Linked DNA regions of Oreochromis niloticus. The protein of the gene in region 1 interacts with the protein of each later gene in a pairwise test. Links are inferred from orthologs where the notes say so. Each region holds a gene or a part of one and is shown in the gene's direction. Other genes may lie near its edges.

What was found.
Region 2: the proteins of gripap1 (region 1) and rab4a interact in binary tests that used the Homo sapiens proteins (3 or more experiments, as listed by UniProt). The link is inferred for Oreochromis niloticus from reciprocal best matches to the Homo sapiens genes GRIPAP1 and RAB4A.

What each region holds. Positions count from the first base shown.
Region 1 is NC_031984.2:3,704,764-3,713,108, reverse strand, and holds the start of gripap1 (GRIP1-associated protein 1), read left to right. Parts: upstream 1-5,111; 5' UTR 5,112-5,216; coding exon 5,217-5,264; intron 5,265-6,806; coding exon 6,807-6,873; intron 6,874-8,326; coding exon 8,327-8,345. Other genes in the region: ptpn18 (tyrosine-protein phosphatase non-receptor type 18), read right to left, coding at 3,502-3,573. UniProt on the Homo sapiens protein: Regulates the endosomal recycling back to the neuronal plasma membrane, possibly by connecting early and late recycling endosomal domains and promoting segregation of recycling endosomes from early endosomal membranes.
Region 2 is NC_031965.2:25,563,686-25,571,569, forward strand, and holds the start of rab4a (ras-related protein Rab-4A), read left to right. Parts: upstream 1-4,620; 5' UTR 4,621-4,776; coding exon 4,777-4,792; intron 4,793-6,842; coding exon 6,843-6,923; intron 6,924-7,884. UniProt on the Homo sapiens protein: The small GTPases Rab are key regulators of intracellular membrane trafficking, from the formation of transport vesicles to their fusion with membranes.

The sequences.
Region 1 (8,345 bases):
TTGTAGTCCAAGGTTCGCTGTCCAGGAAATGAACATCAGTTAGTGTCATGGCCCCTGAAGTCATGAAAACACAGCTGTTTGTGTGTATGTGTTTTGTGGTGAATGGTTTCAGTGTAATGTTGACACTAAACTCTGCTTTTAGTAACTCTGCAGGTTGTTTCTGCTCATTTCTAACCTCACTGTGAGTTTAAATTCATTTCATCTCAGAAAAATGTGAGCAGAGCAGAAGTAGCAAAGTGACAGGCTTCTTACCCTGAACACAAATACGTTTCGTGCCCCAAAATAATTAATTTAGCAGCACCATGTGAATTTACATCACTATTCACTCGATCCAGTCACGCAGGATGTAATGCCCAATCAGGCCATGTGACTCAGCCACACACCGATTAAATAAGTAGCAGAAAAAAGGACCTAAAGGTGTGAATTGTACTCTGATATTAGGATACAGGAAAACAATAGCAGGGTGACCATTTTAAATATTGGAGTATGAAATACGCCTCACACTGATTAATCTAACGTTAAAAAAAGTTTCAATACAGTTAAAGAAAATTAGCAGAAAGCTGCAGTTTCCTTGCAGCTCAGCAGCAACAGCTACACGATGTCACCATGATCATTGTTTCGACTAAGAGTTGTAATGTGTACCTAAATATATGGCGATAAATAACACATGTTTAGAGGACAACACCGTCCTGAATATGGGAGGATTGTTTGGATGTTCCTCTGATCACTGAGCCTGAGAGTAGAGGACAGCATCAGTTTGAAGTCTAGAACATCTCATCTTAATTAGCGAATACCGCGCTGCGCTGTAGACAAAGCAAAGGTGGAAATCTCTCAGCATTGATATTTCAGACACTCGTCTGCTGTTCCACCACAGCGGGACGGTTGGCTTTGACATGTTAAATAATGTAAAACAGTTAGAGCAGTTTAAGATCAGTGCTCACTCGACATACATGACTTTCAGACTGACCACAGCATTAAAGCATTTATAGTCCGAGTTATTGTACGTCCTGCTGGTGTAAAATAAATTAGCCAGTTCTCTCAAATAAAATGCATTTCCTTCTTGTTTTATGTTATAAAATAAGGATGTAGTTTGATTTTCACAGAGAAATAAGATGATAGATGGTTGGATAATGTCAACAGTTTGTTTTAGCAAAAGCAGGCTTCCTTGTTTGATTCAACAGTAAAATAGAAAATGATCAGTTACCTGATATTTAAATTTATAATTACGCTGGATTTGTTTCTGGACATAAATTTTATGTGACTTTGAAGCTGGCATTACACAAAGTTTTTAAAGAGTCTCTTATCCAAGCAGCCACTTAGGAAAGACAGCAGGATAAAGGACACTGTGCAGTGGGGTCAGGTTCATTCATGAACAGAGCACAAAGTGGACCTAGAAGATGCAGATGGAAGACAAGTTCAAATTTTTGAAAGCCACAAACGAGGGAATTTACCACAACCCCCCCAAAAAACAACACCTTGATCCCCGAGTCTGACGAAAAGCCAAAGACTGACCAGCAGGTATATCCACACCTTGACATCCACCTTTGTTGTACTGTTCGTGTTCCATACTAATTCAATCACAGGACCCTCGGCTGCATTACTGTGACAATGACCACACACATTACGTGGCACTCGATTGTAATGGAAAACTGGTCAATCCAGCTCGCCCTGGCGAGTTGATCCAAGTAGGTAGTGATGGAAAAGAGGCTATACAAACTTGATGGAACAAACAGGGAAACCAGACAACGATGGAGACAGAACTCTGGGAGACCAGACGGACATGGGGACATGACCGGGGAGAGAGAGGGGGTAACAACACAGAAACAGGAGTGCCTTCCACAGGAGACGCCGATGACAAGGCGCAGACGAGACTGGGAGAGATTAAGGAACAAAAGGGAACTTGCATAAAAAAAACAAGAACCAAGAACTAGAAAGATCAATAACAAACCTACAAGGCCCTAGGAAATGTTAAGCTGGAGACACATACAGAGAACTAATACAAAACTAGAACATGAAAACCTCTTAATTCTAAAGAAATGAGTAATAAGCCTAAAACAAGCACAGAATACTGGGTCAGAGACGCAGGACCAGGACACTGAAAAATACCTAATTTGACTGATTGCAATCATATGCAAACTGGCCATCTGCATATAAATCTAGTTCCTGCAGCTTTTTCAGGAGGATGAGTCGATATTCTGTCAGTGTCTATCTGGCACATCAAACGAGAGTTTGGACCATCACACCCTTGCTGGTACTGTTACCATAAGTGTGTCTGTTGGTATGATCATGGTAAGATGTCAACCTGGAAACGCCTACAGAAGTGAGTCTCGTCTCTTTGTCATGTTCCGATAACTCACAGTTGCTGTGGCTTTTGTGATCCACTGGAAATTATTTTTAGTATTTTACTGGCCTGAGTTTCACCTCTGAGGCTAAACATAAACTTAATAAAATACTAAAATTAAAAAGAAACGTCATTTTTGTTTTCACTTACTGTTTGGTCAGGGTAAGGCACCAGTGTTACTCGGTTCAGATTAGAAAAAGGTCTTATTTTGGGTTCAGATAAGCATGTTCACCGTCTTAACCCTTTGCATTTTAAATGGCATGCTGAAGAGTACCGTGTAATTGAAAGTGTGACACAGAGGAGTGTGACGTAAGACGGACCGAGTCATAACCTTTCTGACAATGAAGAGGACTATTGGACCCGTGTGAGGTTTGTAAAAGCAGAATTGATGGCACAGTTGGTTTCTGTCTGGTCTGGACTGCAGGTGTTTATTCTAAAAATAAAATTTGAAGAGAAATGGACTGAGATTGGACCCCTGAGGAACACCCGCACAACCTGTCAAAATCCGGTTTGAAGTCTTTGAGACTTAACTGAAGTGAAATCACAAATCTTTGTGTTGAATGAAGACAGGCAGGATTAATAAAGCAGGTTTTTGAATAGGTGGAGGAAAAGCTGGAGCTCTTAGAGAATTCAGGACCCTCTTAATGTATTAATGTTAATGCTTAATACTAAAAACAGGGTACAGTGCTGATGGCGTTCATGAAAATAAGAGTATCCTCAGTCTGAAAACAACCTAATATGGTGTGCATGTTAGACTCAACCTATTTAGCTTTGCATGTTTTACACACACCAGCCTCACGTGACTGAGTTTATCTGATTATTGGCTGCAGCTCATTTGATTAGATGGGTCAAAGTTGAAAACAGAGGCAGGTATTTCCAGGAAAGTGCAGCACATAAAAGAAGTCGTTGACAGAGATGAAAAGCAGCGAAGTTAAAGGTCCACAACATACAGAAGTTTGTGCATTGTGTAAAAATGTGACGTATAGGAGAAAAACTAACCTCAAGCTCAACCTCAGAGTTACTCAAGCTGTTCTCAATTGTCATCTGAACTTGACAGTGCATTATTACTGCACTTTTATTTCGTTGGACCAGATTCTCGAGGATGTGAAAGCTCTCAAACTGGCTTTTCCATAAACTGAGGAATGAAAACAAACACTCACACTGTACTCCTGATCCACAGTCCTGGGATCGACTGTCTTCAGTCTGGACAGCAGCGAGGGCAGCAGCTCCATCTCGAGTCAAGTAACATCCAACACCTGAGCCGAGCTCGTGCGCCTCACTGACTCTACTCTCCTGGCTGTAGGCTGATCAGCCAAAACTGAAATTGAAATAAGCCTCTCTCTCTCTCTCTCTCTCTCTCTCTCTCTCTGTCGCGCGCGCTACCTCTACCTCTTAGTTCTCTCTTTCCCTCTGTGTCTCAGTTCTGCCTCTGTCTGTCAGTTAATAATTTAACACCAGCTAATTGAGCCTCTCTCTCGCTCTCTCTCTATCCGAACTGGAGAACAAGGAAGTATGTGCACAGTTTGAAAGAAATCACAAAAACTTTACAACTGGTTACTTCACTGAATTTTAAAGCGTTGGTGTGTTACAGAAATATATTTCCTTCCTGAAGCACACAGCTAGTGAGTAATCTGGCACAGGCTGCATACCATGTATGCAGTCAGGCAACCTGTTTCACCTGTGTGTTCACCAGACAGTGTGCAGAGATAGATTTTCTTGATAGAGAAGTGTTGACAGAGGTGGAATTTAAAACCACTGCCTTGTCTGAAGCTGAAAGATATAGGCACGTGTTTAAAAACACTGAACTGTGATGGACACGTGATTAATTCTGCTTTTTGCCGAGCAGGCGTAGAAAGGTAACTAGATAGAGATCTAACTTATGTAGTTCAAAAGTTGAATAACCACTCTCACATAAACTGGAGGCAATCTTGTGTAGCTCTTTTCTGTTCTACCTGAACACACCTCATTCACACCCACTCATATAAGCATTTTTCTTTTCCTGTCCTTAAGTGCTTTCTATCTAACAAGGATGTTTTGTATGCCAGGGCTCAAACCACCAACCTTTATGGCCTGTGCTACCTCCTGAGCTACAGCCCCACCTAAAAACAATAGTAGCAAAAGCCACCAAATACACTCAGACACCTTACAAGAACAAGGTTGGACTACCTTTTCCCTTCTTCAGTGAGTGCTGGGAACACTCCTCAACAATTTTGATCCATATTAACATAATTAAACATGAATATATTATGAGCCAGTGGCTCAGAGCCACATACACAACTAATTCCCATTACTCTGGATCTGATATTTTCTTTATTCATTTATTCAGTAATGAAAATGACCCTGGCTCACCATTGCACATTGATTTCAGCTGTCCAGAACCTAAAATGACACCTTAGCAGTGCTTGTTTTGCTGAGTATTCAAACAACAGCCTTAAGAAAAGAACAGCAAGTCCTCACATGTGAGAAGCGGGAGTGAAAGGTTTTTAAATTTATTTATTGGAATTATTTTGTAAAGGCACCACTCATTTGGCCTTGTTAAACAAAAGTACATAATCTATAACAAAGATCGTATTTCGTTATCTCTCATGATATTTACATGGAAATATAAATATATTTTGTTATATATAAAATCTGACCTCGAAATATTCGCAGGTCTTGAGTAAATGTAGTTCGTAGTGATTGAGGTTTCTCCTCAGTTCTCGGAAACAGCATCAGAGTGAGCGCTCTGTTATGGCGGCTCCTCTCTGTCAGCTGCTCGGTTCTCAGAAACTGCGTCAGAGTGAAACCTCCATCCTGTCTCCTCCTCTCTGTCAGCTGCTGCGTCTCCTCCTCCGCTAGCTTAGCCTGCTAGCTCGCAGCAGCAGGGAAGGTAAACATGGCTATGTCGCAGGCTCTGTCCGAGGAGGAGTTCCATCGGATGCAGGTGAGAAAAACTACAGCGATTGTTCTTTTGGGTCGCTGGGCTCTCACACGTGTAGGTGTCAGTGTGGTGAAAAACACCTGTGCGGTGCAGCATCACTGCCAGGGGCGTTAGCACAGTCTGCTAATCGTGAGCCGTTGCTAGGTGGGAGCGGTTAGAACGGCTAGCTCGGCTGACATTATTCATTTAACGTTGGCAGGAAGGTAACGGGCAGCCCGAGCTTTGACATGCCTCCGGGCGATACACTTAAGAAGGGGAGGAAGCAGACACAACGAGAGAGCTCAGTTCAACACTTAGCCTAGCTTAGCCTCCCCCTCTGTAAAGAAAAGCACAGCGTAGCATTTTTGATGCTAACCGTTATTTCTATCTGACAGCGGGCTAACATGTTAGCATTCAAGGGACTCTCGCCCTGCTGAGAGTCACGGGGTCCGAGGCAGGCTCCCGTGGGCTCCTCTGTGTCGGAGACAGGGCCGGGAGGCTCAAACACCTGTTAACATACTAACCACTGACCTCCCTGACCACTTTAATAGGACTATATACTTATAGAGTCGTTCTCTGTTGTTACACAAAGTGTAAGAACAGGAATCTTGACATGGTAAACAGCAGTAGGGAAGAGTTCAAATATATTTACCACAAAAAAGCCGTTAATACAGCTATTATACTGTAGTAAACGCATTATTTTATTCTGTAATAAATGCAGTTAGGAATAGAAAGGTGTACTTAAAACATAAACATGTGTGCAGGGCTCTTTAAATGCAGCTGTAAGGCTCCTCTGGGCCAGTAAGGTGGGTCCCTACAGGACATCATGCTGTTTATGAAATATTTAGGAAGAAAGATCTTTCTAAAAGATGGAGGTAGCCACTAGTGTCAGCAGCTGGTTTTGGACTTTACATTTGAACGGCCAGTGTTGTGTTTTTTGGTGTCAGCAGTGAGTGTATTTAGGCAAGAGAGTAGAGTGCTCTGTAATGAGCATAAACAGCATTTTGGGTGGGTGTAGCTGCCGTGATGTCACCCGTTGGTTTGTGAAGTCCTGCTACAAAGCTTCAAGATCAGGGTATTCTTGTCGCCCTCTTGAAACTGGATATCTGGGATGGATCCGACTATGCTTGTGTTAAGTGTTTCAGTTGAAGGCAGCTGGACGACTTCTTGGTTCATGAAGACATTTCATCTCTCATCTCAGGGGCATCTTCAGCTCTAAAACCTGATATGGAGTCCCAGGTTTTTAACTCTTTGAGGATGGGTGGGACCACCTGTGCATAAACCAGCGGTTATTTTGCCTCTTGCTGACATTCAGTGATCTCTGGTCACCACGCTGCTGCTTGTTACAGTGCGGAGCACAGTAATCAGTTTATTTACATGTTAAAAGATAAATAAGCTCATCATCAGTTGACCTTTGAAAAGGGATGCAAATACCTACTGGCCAATCAAAAACACAACATGGTTCATGCAGTTTCTAAGTAAAGCTGGTCATAAATTAATACTGGTGTGTGTGTGTGTGTGTGTGTGTGTGTGCGTGTGTGTGTGTGTGTGCGCGTGCTTGTGCAGGCCCAGCTGTTGGAGCTGCGGACTCAGAACTACCAGCTGTCTGATGATCTCAGGAAGAACACGGCAGGTAAAACCTTTCACTCTTTGTCCTTCTAGTTCCTGCTGTTTCATCTCATCAACACTTGAAATTACCACAAGCACACAAGAGGCTCTTTAAAGCAACAGAATCTTTAAAAACACAGATTATGGTAAATGGTAAATGGCCTGTATTTATATAGCGCTTTACTGGTCCCTAAGGACCCCAAAGCGCTTTACATATCCAGTCATCCACCCATTCACACACACATTCACACAGATTAGAAGACCCTTAGCCTAAAACCAGTTTTCCTGCTTCACCTGGGCAGTTTTTGTCCGGGTGAAGGTTTTACTGAAGTTAAAAGAGTGACCTTGCCAACGGGGCAGCAGACATTATAAGAGACATTAGAGGACAAGTGCAAATGTCACACAGTGCATGAGAGAGAACACAACATTGAGATTATATGAAATATAAAATAAAAGATCAAGGTCAAAACTGCTTCAAACTCATTTTGTTGCAAGTTTTAGAGAAAACACACTGTCCAAGAAGCTTTTGTCTCAGGTTTTACAAGTGACTGATGCGAACTGTTAACTGTGGGGCGGTTTACGGCCGTTTCAGATCCGTCTGCATATTATTCCAGGAAAACAGGACTGCATAGATGAATCTTTGTTTGTTTGAAAGGGCAGGGATTAGCTGGATTTTAAAAAGTCATAAAATAAACATGTGTAGTTGGAAACACTGTAAGGCCGGAGGAGGATTTTGGTGTAGTTAACTTAGAGCCGTCCTGTGTAAAATGAATCAGTGGCGTGACTAACAGGCCCTCAAGAACCCAGAGATTTGGGTCAAAAATTTCTGGCCTTATTTTCCCAGCACATGAAAAATTTTAGAGCTAAAAAACACATTTACATGGCTGGACAAAAAAAATTACAGCATATAAAAGGTCTTCTTTCTAGCCACAATTCCTTTGGGTCAAAATCATTTATTCATTCATTCATTCATGGTATGAAGGTAAAAATTTCCGTTGCTTTGTTAAATATATTATAATTATTTAAAAAATAAAACAGCTGATTTGGAGAGGCTCAGGCAGGAAGTATTTTAAGTGCAATGGCCCAATAATAGTAGTAATGATATTTTTTATTTGTCCCACTTTTTAAAATGTACATATTCACACAGAATAAATTGCACACAGATAAGTGTGTACATATCACAGCATAGACAGCATGAAAGCAAGCAGGGTCCTTCACTAGAGTAAAATAACAGAACATGAGATGGTCTATGAAAATGCAAAATATAGGAGGAAACACAGGAGGGAATCTACCCGCAACCCTGACATTCATGGATACAAGCAGGCTTTAAATGCAGTCAATGTACAGGCTCCACTTCAACTAACGTACATGAAATTATTCATCGCATAAATATTTGATCGGCCCATGTTAGCAGTAAAACTTTATTGAAGAGGAAACGCGTGCTTTCTATAATTAAATGTCGTCCTGGTGCATTTCAGAGCTGAATGCCGTCCGTCA
Region 2 (7,884 bases), on another chromosome or scaffold:
TGAACTGACGTTAACGACACGACAACAAGAACTAACTGACAGGGACTAAAATACACTGGCAGGCACATGAGGAAACGAGTAACAGGTGGGCACACAGCTGGGACTCATTAGGCTAGTAAGGACAAGGAAGTAAAACAGAATACACTAACATGAGACAAGACCTTCAAAGTAAAACAGGAACTCCACAGGCAGAATTCAGAGACAATACTAACACAGTACAGAGGGAACACAGAACAGGGACAGGAGGAACATGAGGGCAGAACTAAAACCTAAGAGCTAGAAATCACAACCCAGAAGGACAAGAAATCTAGAAAAGCAAAACAGAACCCAATAAACAATAATATAGAATCAAAACACTGGGCCACAGGCCCAGGACCGTGACACAATACTTGCTTTGAAGTAATCCCATGTGTGCATACAAGCAAGAATTATGAGAAATCCCAAGATGAAACTAAAACTAGAGGTGGGCAGTTCAATCAAAATATTGATGGTATTTATACTAATACTGGTGTTAGTATTGGCTCTATACTAGCTTGATAGGTTTGGTACTTTGCTTCTATCCGCTATGTTCAGCATGTAGCCCAGTGTGTTCAGTCAGTTGTAGGACTTTGAAGGGCTCAATAGGTTTACAGTAGCAAAAACCCTAGTGTAGTTCATCTGGTTCAGATCACTTATGTGGCCTGAATTGATTTCCTGTGCTACTAACAAAATTTAATTTAAAAAACCAAACAGGTTATGTTGCTTCCTATTGGCCTGCAGGGTGCAAGGCAGACTTTGCTTCCTGCTTCAGTGAAAACTTCTGCATACGTTGTGATCCAGGTAACTTCCTGTTCAGAGGCAAATGTTAACGTGCTTGTCCGAAGGGGCAGAAAACAATTCTGTGCGTATATAAAACAGGTCCACGGCTCCAAACAGTAGTAAAGGGACCTCTGGCTAATACTTTGGGTTCTGTGTCAGGCTCGAAGCCAAAAACTACCTTTACTTTGTTGTCTGGGTCAACTTTGCTATTGAGAGACAGAGAGAGGTGTTGAAAGGCTCCTCCGATAGAAGTTACTGTTTGATGAACACAGTGTACAGTCGAGTCTTAATAGCTTACTTACAACTGGGCTCATCAGGCACTCTTTTTGGCTGCAGTGGTTATTATTATATTTACATGCTTCCGTCTCCCGTATCTGGTCAGTGACAACTCGTACTTTCTTTAGGGCTATGCCTGTAACACTCTGCCTATTGCCTTCATATTAAATAATTTTTTGAATAATAATTTTTAAAAATATTTCTTCAAGTCATTATGCGGGCCCCAAGTAGAGTTGACATGGGCCGCGAGATTGAGACACAGGCATTAGAGCCTCTTAATGTGTGTTATGTTTGGGTTTCCACCGGTGTGGAATTAGCAAAAATAGAGAGGGCATAGCCTAACATACGAAACAGGAAAAGACCACTATGTAATCTATTTATTTCAACGAAATAACTGTATTCTGAATATCACCTTTTAAAACGATAACTGCAATGGAATACAGTTACTCATATTTTGTATTTTAAATACGTAATGCTGGTACATGTATTCCATCACTCCCCCAAACTGCCTCAGGCAAGTATGGGGCAAATCATACTTTCAGATTTGACAGCAGAATAATGATGAAAACTTTGCGTTTGTGCTTGTTAGCAGCTCAAAATGGCTGAGAAACACAAAAATGTTTAATGCATACAAAAGATACACCAGTGCTGTGGATTCCCTAAACACTTCAAGGTTCTCCACACACTGAGATAAGCCACAAAAGCAACACCAACCCCCAGCCCCCGTGGCTCTCCCTGGTAACAAAAGTGCCTCAAACATGACCCTAAGGATCTTCGATTATGCCAGTGGTTTTGATCCTAACGTTGCTGCTGATTGGTTTAGATTTACAGTTTGTTATTTTTTCATCCTGCGTCTCCATCTCATTCCTGTGCAATAATTTCACCGCTTTCCCACTGAAATGTTAACACAGATAATGAAGTTCAGAGAATTTGATTATATTTGCTATGTTATTTAGCAAATATAATCACCGGATGTAGCAACTGCATGAAAATGTAATAGAATTGCTGCCATTCTACCGCTGCAGGACATTTTCTGTGCCACTGATGAATTTTAAACTAATCCCTGGACATAATATTAAAACATGCACTTGTTGTATAGATGACATTTGACCTCACACAAAAGGAGAACCATGTTAATCCTTTTTGTAACATTTTTTTCCCAACATATTGTAACCCCTTAATGTCAAGTGTATTATATTTGAGACCTGATTTTTTTTAGGCTTCATCAATGTGATTTTTTTTTTTACCCTGGTAAACCTAAATAAAGACATTTTTAAGCCCAAAAAAGTTAGATGTAGCAAATATTATGCAAATTAAAAGGCATATATGCAAATTACTTTTTTAATATTTCTTTAAAAATGTTCAGTTTTCTAGAGTACGGGTTGCACCAAGCAAAACACACAGTAACTACAATGTCTAATTAAAAGTGGAAATTCTATACCTGAGCTGGACAAATCTATTTTTTTCAAGGTTTATTATTTGTTTTTCTTAAAACAAATAATAAACCAAACCAAAACTATGTACAGGTTTAATGAAGCCCTCTTTTACTGTGAAACACTCCTTTTATGTGCATGGTGTGCAGCCACACCAGATCTGCCTCATTTGCACATCTATGCAGAACATTTAAAAAGGAAATACATTGATGAACTTTCATAGTGCTATCACTTAGTTTGTTTTTCTTTACCCTTTCCAGCTTTTGTTTGTTTGTTTATTTACTATTAAATAATCTGTTATTTATGCTGTAAGGGCTGATTTATAGAACATTTCTATGCCAAAATGGTGGAAAAGTGATTCATTTCTTATGGTATCTTGTAATTGTTTGTTTGCTTGCTTGCTTGCTCCTTTAATGGAAATGTATGCACATTTGTGCGTTTTTACACAGAAGATACCTCATTTGTAGAGGTACAAAAAAAAAAGAAAAGAAAAGAAAATTTGTTAAAATAAAAGAACAAACAAACAGAAAAACTGTAATACAAAATACAAACAAACAAAACAGTTTTTTTTGTGACAGTTGAACACACCCATCAGGACATAATTTTCTACACACATTTACAAATGTATGTATTATATCTTCTTGCTGCTGTTTCCTGTACTGTACATATTATTTTTATGTCAGTCTTTTCACTTACTTTAAAAAAAAAATCTTTAACTTCATTTTTTATTATGTTATTTTAATATTGTTGAATGTAAAAAAAATTCTCTACATCAAATTATAAGATCTCCAGCATGGGCATGTTACTTGTACTTTGGAATGTCTGTCTGACATAAGAAGAGTGTATTTTTTAGGGTTTCTTCACTTCTGTGTAACCCTCTCCCCCCCCATGACTACTATTTTTATTTATGTATAATAATGTAATGTAAGTAACACTTAGTGCACAAACTAGTCTGTGCATTCAGAGCAGTGGAGGGAAACCCTGCCCTTCGAAAGCTTTGAAGAGTCCTGACACTTGGTAAGGTAAGAAGGTTTAATTTATCAATAAATATTCTGTAAGACATTAAATATGTTAAATATCCTGCATTTGTCTGACATTGAAGCTTTGACTAATGGCTGTGAGAGGCTTTGGAAGTTTTTCCATGTTAAAAAAATTGCTCACATTAGATCTATTTTTTTCCTTTTCCTTTCCTAACACTTTGTTAAGCAGTCCAATGGTCAGGAACACTCTTGATGGACTTCATATGGTCTCTGTTTCTAGACTAGGTGAAACTGTAAATCATTTGAAACCCTCAGTTAGTTTTGTGGTCTAGTTTCTGCTTTTTTCTGCTTAACCATTTTGCTCGTAGTCTCAAGTAGAGCTTCCAAAGATTGATTTTTTTTTTGTATTGTTGCATTGTTAACTTACATTGTGTACTATGCTTGCAGGTGCAAAGCACCTTCAGATAATACACTTGCATTTATGTAATGCTTTTCTAGTCTTATTATTGATTCAAAACACTTTCAACTACACATTTATGCAGGACTTCTATAAACTTCAACTACCTTACATCCGTGATCTGTTTAGAATCACCAGTGCACGAACATACATGTCTTCAGACTAAGGGAAGAAGCTGGAGTACCCAAAGAAAACTGTGTGAACTCCACACAGCTAAGCCCAAACCAGGATTTAAGCCAACTGTGAGGCAACAGTGCCTCTTGAAGAGATTTGGGACAGGAGTGATGGGAACACATATAGTTTTACCTTTATTACCACTATCCCATTAATAATGCACACAGATATGACATTTTCCTTGATTTGACCTACACTGGTGGATTTAAAGCTAATTTCAGTCGGGACAGGTCAAATTTGATTGGAGCAGTCTCAGTGTACAGATATGTGTAGCACATAAATTTAAAAAAAATTCTTTTTTATGTTTTAGGGATCACCTTAGGAAACGTCATCCAATTTCAAAATAAAAGACTTAATATTTATTCATTTAGTCACATGTAAAAAGTGACCTAAATAGCATCCAAGTCTGTGTCAAAAGTCTCAAGCAGACACAGCTCCACCCTGCGGCTGCCTGAAGACTTTACAGTGATCCAACGGTTCTTCGGTTAGACGGCTTTTATTTTGAAACAAACCGCGTACGGGAAGTCGGAGGGAAAAATCAGCTGGACTCCGCGGAAATCACCAACAGGAGTATTTTCCTTTTATTTAGCTAGCTAACCATCTGTCAACTCCCATTTCTCCCTCCCTTCTTTGTTGCTGTCAAACCGCCACACTGGCGATGTCGGAGTCGTACGGTAAGAAAGCACTTTTGACCGGCGGCCACCGTTATCATCCTCCCGTAGCCTCAGAGATGGGATGGGGCAGGTGTGCCCAGAGAGCTTTTTCTCATCGTAAACAGATAGCTGACAGGCTAACCGAGCCGCCGCTGAAGGCTGCTGGCCTTAAAAGTTGCCTCGTCAGCGTAAGGAAACCCACAAAGGCTGTACAGCAGAGTTTAGTGTCGCCGTGTGCAAAAAATGTACCCCCGGCACAAGGTTACAAAGCTCCCCGGAGGGTATCGAAAAAGACAGGGGAAGCTGACACCTGGCTGGGGCTTGGTGCAGCTGTAATATCTGACTAAGCTGCAACATTACAGCCACATATGAGGCATTGTTTTCTTAGCTTGACCATTTCACACCAAAATAATGATTATTTTGCTAGTTTAGTGGTTTAATAGTGGATGAATTCCTCCGTTGCACAGAACAGCTGATTGTAGTTTTTGTTTGCCTACATCAAAGCCTCCAGAATATTTTTTTTTTTGGGGGGGGGGCTTAATTGTTTGTTTGTTTTTTATTAGGATAATACCTATATCAATATTTGAAAGCTATAACATCAAGCAAGAAAAGCCAGGCGCTGTTTGTTGTTAAACATCAGTTTATTATGGCCAAAGCATCACAGTATTGTGCAGCATATGCTTGAGCCTGACTGATAAATGGAGTTTGGGAGCCGGTGTGCACAGTTTGTCACACTTATATATCTGAAACCCATTTGGAACACCTGCCAAGAAAATTAAAGACAAAAATCAAATTTCTAGTTTAGTCTGTGCTGGACTGTGGTGATGTGGTGATATGATTTGTCTGCATCTTGATTTTGCATTGTACTTTATCGCAGGTGATTCTTTTCGGTCTTGTATGAAAAAATGTACTAGTCCTCTTAAGCTATAATAATACTACAGGAGTATATGGTGGTAAATAAGGGTGTTTGCAAGGCTACTGCAGAGATTACTGGATTTACTAGACTTCACAACAGTGACGGTAACTCTCACCACTCAAGTGGGGGAAAACTAAATTTAAATGAGCTATAAAATATATGAAGCTACAGTCTCTAATTTCTCTAGAATATTTTGAAAGGTCATGTTTACGGAACTTGAACCACACCCTCATTTGTTTATATTTTGCAAGGAAAATAAGAAATAGGTGCAGCACTTTCTTTGAAACATGCAAAAATATATGGAAATACAGAATATAAGGCAAAAACAGAGTTTGTAATGAGTGTGAAAGTCAGGATTTGGTATGATTTGGTATTCTTCAGCACAGCCTGAGCTCTGTTAGACAGTTTTTTGTAATTTCTTTAAGTAGCCTTCAGGAATAGTTCTCTGGGCTTCTAAAAGGACATTCAAAGCTCTTCTTTGGATTTTGACTGCCTTTATTTCTGATTTCTATCAGGATGATCCCAAACTGCCACTGATTTTCAGTCCAGTTCTTGTGTAATTTGGCATACCTCAACCTTTTCTCCCTGTTTCCTTTCCTTAAGAACAACTGAGTTTGTAGATGGATCAACTGAAGGATGAGTTTTATCTCTCAGGTCAAGTTATTACAGTTCACTAAAACTAAACTAAAAAATAAAACTGTGTTTTTTAAAGATGGACTAACTGAGGTGACATTGACTAATTAAACTAAACTAGTTTAGTTTGTTGTCACATGTAGCTTTATTAGGCCTTGGTACATTTGGTTATTGAGGCTTGGAATGACTGTGAGATGACTGTGAGCTAACTGCCTGTGTTTGTATTATAATATCTGTTCTGAACCTCTGAAAAGCACAACCCAGATTACAATAAATAAGAAAGTTGGTACTGAAGCTAAACACTAAAATGAAACGAGCAAACTCACTGTGGAAGTGAAACTAAATTGACAAGAAAAACGAGCTGGAAAATACCAAACTAAGACTACAGTAACTGAGCTTTTCCCACATTTTTGTTGTAATTTCCTGTCGTGTTAGCTAGCGTCTATATGAGCAACTAGTTTCATATAGTCTGATAATAATAGCCCAACTGATGTAATGTGTGTCTTTGCTTTTCCTTTGCAGATTTCCTGTTTAAATTCCTGGTGATTGGGAATGCTGGAACGGGGAAATCGTGTCTTCTGCACCAGTTCATAGAGAAGAGGTGTAAGTCTGAAAGACGCAGCACGCTCCTGACTGTTTACTGTAAATTACAGCACTACATTAGGGAATTTCTTCAGGCAAATTAGACAGTAAATATGCCAGTAATTTCCACATGTTAAAGATTCCTAGGATGGAAATCAAGTTTTCAACCTTTTAAGTCCATATTTAATGAGTGAAATAAGCTGTCAAATCCATGGATATGACTGCATTCTTAATCCATGGATTTAACTGTGTGCATTTATACTTGCATTCTGAGTTTTATAGGCAAAACTAAGAAATCCTGTTAACTTTGGGTTAAAGCTAAGCTTCTCAGAGCTGGCAAGCTGGAAAGGGGGTTGTGTTAGATAAGAAATGCATTTACATTTCTAATATTGTTGAGGATGATGCACTGTAATGACAAAACTATTTGCTCGTCCGCCTTCACACTCATATGAACTTGAGTCTCATCCCATTCTTAATCCATTGCGTTTAATATGTCAGCCCACCCTTTGCAGCTATAACAGCTCCAGATCTTCTGGGAAGTCTTTCCACAAGGTTTAGGTGTGTGTTCATGGGAATTTCTGATCACTCTTCCAGAAGTGCATTTGTGAAGTCAGACACTTATGTGGTTTGAGGAGGCTTGGCTTGCAGTCTCTGCTCTAATTCATCCTAAAGGTGCTGTGTCGGGTTGAGGTCAGGACTCTACAGGCCAGTCAAATGCTTCCATGCCAAACTCACTCATCTATGTATTTATGGACTTTACTGTGTAAGTAAACATACGCAGTCATGTTGGAGCAGGACGGGGCTATCCTTAAACTGTTTCCACAAAATAGGGATCATGAAATGGACCAAAGTGTCTTGATATGCTGAAGCATTAAGAGTTTGCAGTCAGACAAGTGCTGTTATCCTGGCAACCACCAAACTCAGACTTGTCCACTGCTCTAGTGTCCAGTGGCGGTGTGCCCTTTACACCACTGCAACCGAC